Coturnix japonica: one gene and its partner. The protein of the gene in region 1 purifies or fractionates together with the protein of each later gene. This does not show direct contact. Links are inferred from orthologs where the notes say so. Each region holds a gene or a part of one and is shown on either strand. Other genes may lie near its edges.

What was found. Proteins that work in one complex are often made in the same cells at the same time.
Region 2: the proteins of NAA30 (region 1) and NAA38 purify together in Homo sapiens (co-immunoprecipitation; 3 studies listed by BioGRID and IntAct, with this or other methods). This does not show direct contact. The link is inferred for Coturnix japonica from reciprocal best matches to the Homo sapiens genes NAA30 and NAA38.

Annotation. Positions count from the first base shown.
Region 1 is NC_029520.1:50,473,223-50,476,973, forward strand, and holds the start of NAA30 (N-alpha-acetyltransferase 30), read right to left. Parts: upstream 2,543-3,751; 5' UTR 2,408-2,542; exon of another isoform or gene 2,343-2,407; intron 2,134-2,342; 5' UTR 2,131-2,133; coding exon 1,198-2,130; intron 1-1,197. UniProt on the Homo sapiens protein: Catalytic subunit of the N-terminal acetyltransferase C (NatC) complex. Catalyzes acetylation of the N-terminal methionine residues of peptides beginning with Met-Leu-Ala and Met-Leu-Gly.
Region 2 is NC_029534.1:46,674-49,932, forward strand, and holds NAA38 (N-alpha-acetyltransferase 38, NatC auxiliary subunit), read left to right. Parts: upstream 1-1,531; 5' UTR 1,532-1,621; coding exon 1,622-1,636; intron 1,637-2,006; coding exon 2,007-2,172; intron 2,173-2,367; coding exon 2,368-2,477; 3' UTR 2,478-2,703; downstream 2,704-3,259.

The sequences.
Region 1 (3,751 bases):
GTAATCAATCCTACTGTATTCCCTCTTCAGGACTGTAAGAGGCACATTTCTGAAAACTCTCCTATAAATCATATAAATCCCACTATAAATTACACCAGACCCTAAACTAAGAACGTTTAGTGAGTTGAAGGCCAGATGGATTCCATTAGCTTTACCTCCTGTACTCATATCCAATTAAAATCTTAAAGAGGTACCCCTGAATAAAAGGGTATCTTGGCTCTGGCTAAATCATATCTGTCAGTGTGTTGTCCTGCCTCGATTGAAGCATTAAGAAAAAAAGAATTCATCATTTACTTGAGTGAGGAAGCACCATATGCTCCCCAAAACGTTCTGTTTTACAGAGCAGCTTTCCAATGAGTAAATCAAACACAGCTAAGCCCACTTCTTGTGCATACGTACCCCTCAGGCCAGTTTCATATACCTGTGTGTGGACTGCTCTCATGCTTGTCAGCTGAGACACACGTTCCAAAACGATCTGGCTGTTCTCTTTCTAAATATTCAGCACTAAAAACAAACTAAACTAAAACAATCTTTGTGACAGCGCAATAGGAAGAATACAACAGTAAGGTTTATCATTAGTACTGTAAGACAACCTGAACAAAATGAGTATTTCTGTATGGTGCATACACTACCAAACCTGAAAAGTGATATAATTGTACTTGAAATTCTCAAGGTAAGCAAACAGATCAAAAAAGTCTACAAAACCTTCAGTAGTGCCCACGTCAACATGCATACACCAGTCATGCTCAAGTCAGTTTGAGAACCATTGTGCAAGAATTACTAAGCACTCACAAGACACCCGTGGACTAAGTACTTTCTTTTTTAAATCCAAACCTAGGAACTGAAGCAGAATGACAAAATGAGCTACCAAAGGTCACAGAAGTCAACGTCAACACCAAGATTAGAAGCCTTGAATTCCTGGATCCCAGCCCTGCGTTCAAACCCTTTCCCCACCATTGGAAAGGTATACTAGTGAATGTAAGAACTTCAGACATAAGCTTTGCTTATACAGGCTCAGGTGAGAAGGAGGATTCATTAGTGTTACATACTTTCCAAAACTCTTGGCCTTCCCTCTTAGCCATAAAAAGAATTTTAGAAGTATTTCCACATGTCAGCTCTTTAATCATGCCTCCACCCCAGCCTTAAACCACTCCCAATTCTTACCCTCTTCCCCCCCCCCCCCCAACCAGCACTTACCAAAAAGCAAAGTTGTGGCCAGTTGTGGATAAAATACCTATACGTGTAAATGGAGTAGGGTTCAGACAGATCTTTGGTGATCAGTCTCATGATATCGGGCATCTGCAGCTCTGATTCATATCGGACGTATCGTATCGTTAGGTCCTCCTCGGGCTGACAGTCCGTTCCCGAGCCTTTCAAACTGCAGCCTGCTGCTAAGGACCTAGAGAGCAGCAGCAGGGACTCCTCCTCCTCCCCACCTTCATCCCCCTCCTCCTGCTCTTCCTCCTCCAAGCCAGTCCCTCCTGCCAGCCCATTGCGGGCCGCAGTCTTAGCAGCAGTCGTAGTTGTGGCAGCAGGCTGGCTCCTGTCCCCTATTGCTGCTGCTGCTGCGGGAGAAGGAGGAGGAGAGGGTGCAGTCCTTCCCTGGGGAGGGAGGTGGTTGGAAAGGGGGGACGAGCACGGTGCTGAGGCCGGGGGCGACGGCTGCTGCTGCTGCTGCTGTCCGGAGCCCATTGTTTTGCTGGCTCGCTTGTTCTCCAGCCCCTCGGGGGCTGCCCCTGCCTCCGAGCCCAGGATCTTGCTCTTGAGTGAGGCCCGCAGGTGCCGCAGCTCGGGGCTGATGAGGCCGTTGAGCTGGTGGTTGTGGTGTGGGGGGTGATGGTGGTGGTGGTGGAGGCGGTGCTGCTGCTGCTGCGGCCCCCCCTTACCGCCGTCGCTGCTTCCTCCTCGCTGCTGCTCCCGTCCGCCCGCGGGTCCCTCCTCTTCCTCTTCCTCCTCCTCCTCCTCTTCGGCCTCCTCGTCCTGGGCCCCGGTGCAGGCGGCGGCGGCGGCGGCGGAGGTGGAACAGGAGGAGGAGGAAGCAGGCCCCCCTCCTCCTCCTCCAGGGAAGGGGGAAAGCGTGTCCCCCTGCGGGGAGAGGACGCTGCTAGGCCCCGGCGGTACCTCGGCCATATCCTACGGGAGAGACCGACACAAACCCACCGAGGAAGAAGGCGTCAGACCGGACGGGGGGAACAGGCCGAGGCAGCGGCCTACACTGAGCCAAGGCCGAGGGGGGGTGGGGGGGCCACGAACAAAGGCACACACGGTGCCCGGGCCCCGCCTCGCCGCCCCACCGCCGCCTCTTCCTGCCGTCCCGCTCCCCCCACCGCCGGGGTCCTTACCCGGTTCCTCACGGGCCCCTTGCGGCCGCCGAGCCCCCCCACCCACCGCCGCCTCGGCCGCTCACCCCGCGTCTCCTCAGCGCCGCGGCTCCCACTCCCCGCTCATCCAGCGGCCGCCAAGCGCGGCCGCCGCTGTCGTAACGCGAAGCCAAGTTTCCTGTCAGCTTTTACGACGCTTCCTCACTTGGCGACGGAGCTTAGCGACTGTAGGGCGGGCTTCACCAAGGGTCTGGGCGGGGCGTTGTAGGCCGCGATATGGTGGGGGCGGGTCGGTCTGAGATGTGATTGTGTGGCTGTTAATTAAAGCACCTTTTTGGATCCTCATTGCCTTATTTCCCATTCCAGCAGCCCTCACTTTTACTCTTTGCCCTGCCAGAGATTCTCACGGCAACAGAAAAGCCCTCCAAGTGGGAAGGTTTTGTTTAAAACACACACGAAGCCCCTCAAAAATGCTGAGAAAGGCTGGATTTTGGCTTTTCCTCACCAGGAAGCCTTGCAGGGCTGTTGGAAGGTTCATTCGTTCTCCTTTTGCTGCAGTTATTTCTCAAGGAAGTGACAGGCCCGGGTTTAAAAGGGAAATCCAGCCATTTTCTATGCATGTCCTAACAGGGTTCTGTAATTAGGGAGGAAACAGGCTGTGGAGTTTCAGTCTTCTCTTGGTGAACTGCAGATTAAAGATTTAGTGGTTTTTTTGTGTGTATGTGTGTGTTTTCAGGCTTCAAAGTATCCCCGTGGACCTGATGTGAGCTGTTCTGGCACACAGACGTTGCAGTGAGGTTCACTGTCCTCAAGTATTTTAAACAGCAAAAGCAAACAAATGCCAGTGTAGTAATGGCCTGAAATTCAGTTCTCCTTTGCCGTGTTACAGTGGCGAAAGCATCTGTGGTGTCCATGTTAGGGAGATGATCCAACAAAACCTGTGGGATGGGGTGACGAGGATCTAACTTGTCATGAAAACATACTGTCTGCACTGAGGTTACAGTACCATGGAAATAAAACCTCTTGTGTGTGCTCTCTTTGTCCCATTTACAGACTTGGAAGGTTCCTTGTTCTGATGTTGATCTTAACAGTTCATTGTCCACAGCCAGGATCTATCTGATGTTGATCTTAACAGTTCATTGTCCGCAGCCAGGATTCATCTGACTTGGATAGGGCAGCTGAGCTGAGCTCTGAGCTGGTGCCTTTGATTCCCCTTAAAGCTAACAGAGAGATGAAAGGTATCCTAAAACTGCTGTTATGTTCTTGGTCTGAATGCTTACTTGGCCTTTAAATTTGTTTTATTTCTCGTAACTATTATGATGACAATTGCTTTTAAAGTGAACTTTCTGAGCCGAAATTGTGTATTTCATTCCTCAGGTTTCCCTCACTGCTATTTGAATCTCCAGCAACCTGGAGCAGCCTCACGTCAT
Region 2 (3,259 bases), on another chromosome or scaffold:
GATCCCCGCCCCCCCCTCCCGGGCCCATTGGACCCTACAAGACTCTACGGAATGCCATAGAACTTTGTCTATAGGACCCCATAGGGACAAGGGCAAAGCCCACAGACCACCTTCCCCCCCCCTCCCCCTCCGTGCTATGATGGGACGGATGACGGCAGACAATAGGATCGCGGATGGACAATGGACAGGTGGGACGGGCCGGGCTTTGTCCTTGTCCGTGTCCCCACTCCGGGGCTATTTTTAGGACCCCTCCCCCATGCCCAGCAGCTGCTGCCCTTATATGGCCGCACGGGCTCCCCTCGCATTCCCACCTCTCTGCTTCTTTTCCCCTGTTTCTACTCCCCCCCCCCCCCATTTCCCTGTGTTTTCTTTCATTTCCCACTAATTTACTGGGTTTTCCCTTATTTCCCTGGTTCTTCTCCAAATTTCCTTCCAATTTCACATATTTTCCCCCCTTTCCCTCTAATTTCTTCGTTTTCCCTTATTTCTCCTTAATTTCCCCTATATATATATATTTATTTTCAACCAATTTACCCACTTTTCAGTTATATCCCCAAAGCTTTCCCAACATTACCCTATTTCCCCACTTTTCCCATCTGCTTTTGCTCTCATTTGCTCTTATTTCCCCATTTCCCCTCCAAATTTCCTTTTTTACTTAATTTCCATTTGCCCCCAGATACTCTCCTAATTTACAATAAAAAACCCGTATTCTCCCAAATTTCCACTCATTACCTTATTTCCCCTAATTTTCCCCAATTTTCCCCATTTTTCCCCAAATTTCCCCATTTTCCCCCATTTTCTCCCATTTTCCCCAAATTTCCCCATTTCCCTGTTATTATCTCTAGGTACCCCCCCATTTTACCCTGATTTTCCCTAATTCACCACATTTTCCACGTCTTTCCTCCAAATTTCTTCTACTCGTCCCTTATTTCCCCCAACTTCCCCGTAACTTTCCATCGCTTTCCCCTGAATTTCCCCAGTTTTCACCCAGTCTTTCCCCTTGATCTCACAACTTTTCAGTCCTGGGCCTATTTTGGGGAGAAACAGTTTGAATTTACTACTTTTCACTTCTTTTGAACAAATCATTTTTATAATGCTAAGAAACGGTGTAAAATGAGGAAAGGCAGAAGACAAGAAGAGCGTCAATGATTTATTATGGGAAATGACGAGAAAACTGCAACGGCCGCAGCCGTGACCCCCCCACGGCCTCATCTCTGACCTTGTCGAGCTGCAGAAACGCGGGTTCAACTTTGTAACTTGTCTTGAGAAATAGTGGATGTAAACAGTAGAAATCCCATGTAAGCATAAAACATACATCAGGAATAGAGCTGCTGATTCATCCTGTCATTAATTCTGCCTCTCATTTTAGGCTCCCTAAGCTCTTCCCCGCCCCGTTTACACCCCCACAGCCCCACCTTATGTCCCTCACGTTACAGACTCGGCGGCTTTAGAGACAACCGGGACCCGTTACAACTCCATTTTAGGCTGCCCGTTGCCACGGCAACGCCGCCGTAAAGCAGCGCCGTCCGCACGGCAAGGCCGCAGGAAAGCGTCGCCATCTCCATAACAACGCGGGGCATGCCGGGAGCGCGGCACTTCCGGCGGATAGCGGTGCGGAGCCATGGCGGAACCGGCGGTGAGCGGGAAGGGGGGGAGGGGGGGTCTGTGAGATGGGGGGTCTGTGCAGGTCCTGTATGTGATATCGGAGCTGTGCAGGTCCTGTATGTGATATCGGAGCTGTGCAGGTCCTGTATGTGATCCCAGAGCTGTGCAGGTCCTGTATGTGATATCGGAGCTGTGCAGGTCCTGTATGTGATCCCAGAGCTGTGGCCGTGGCTGTGGCCGTGCTCCAGGGGGCAGCGAGGCACGGAGCGGACACGGGTGTCAGTGTGCAGCCCTGGGAGCTGCCGGGTGCTGTGAGGTGCTGCCGCCGCTCACGGGGTGTCCGGGGTTGTGAAGCGCCTCAGGTGCTGCGGGGCCGTGTCCAACCCCCCCTCCCTGTGCAGCCTCCCGGGGGGTCTCAGCCCCACGCCCGGCGCCTGGCGGCGCTGCTGAACCGCAGCCTGCGGGTCCGCATGTCGGACGGTCGCACCCTGGTGGGAACCTTCCTCTGCACCGACCGTGACGCCAACATCATCCTCGGCTCCGCGCAGGAGTTCCTCAAGGCTGCAGGTACGGGGCCACGGTGGGAAATGGGGCCGCGGGGACGGGGGGACTCGGTGGCTGATGGGGGCGGGGGGGTGATGAAAGGGGGGGCGGTGATAGGGAGGGTGACGGGGATAGCAGGGTGATGGGAACAGGATCTCGGGGAGCGGTGGGGATGGAGACGCGGCAGCGAGACTGACACGGGGCTGCCGTCCTCTGCAGATGCGTTCCCAGGCAGCGAGCCACGTGTGCTGGGCCTGGCCATGGTGCCGGGGCACCACATCGTGTCCATCGAGGTGGAGCGTGATGCCGCCGCTGCTCTGTGCTCCTGATGGCCGCCCTGTGGGATGGACCCCCAAGTGTTGTGCACCTCTTGTGTACCCTAAATCGTGATGGACTCCAGCCATGCAAAATGAGCACCAGAATTGCGATCCCCTCGGACCCAGTAGAGCCCCCACAGTGGTTACGCTGTCACTACGTGATGCTGTCATTCCAGACCCCCACAAAACAGACACAGATGCATTTTTCTTCCCCAAACACTCCGTTTTCAACCTGAAACAGAGTTGTGCGGGTTAATTTAATCTCAGGTACAGAATGTTTCAGTGGGTGATAGGGGCAGAGGGAACACACGGCAGTCCTGGTCCCTCCTAACTGTGGTAATACGCTGCGGCCGAGGGGGATCAGGGAGGAACAGGAACAACGCTGCGCAATGAGCGCCACCTCCAAACGCGAAGCAATTCCTACCATAACGGAGACCGAGCACTTCAGAAGTCATGTAGGTACCTTGCATACAGCTGGGCACCAAACCAAAAGTGGAGCCTTGTGTGGATTTCACCAGCTGGGATTTGGAGACTCCAGGAGCCTGGACTGAGGGTGCTTATAGCTTATAGCAGACTGGGGGCTGGCGGAAATTAAATGTTAAGTTAGAGGGTGTTTGGGAACATCAGGTAATATCAGTAGAGACTGAAGGCAAAGAATTTGAGGAGATAAAAAGGGGAGCAAGAGCCTCTTTTCCATCTCCAAAAGCTGTGTGTCAGAGTATCTCCATCCCAACGGGAAGTGACCCGGGCCGCACCTTGGAACCCCTGTTGCCTGGGCACCCAGGCAAGCCAGT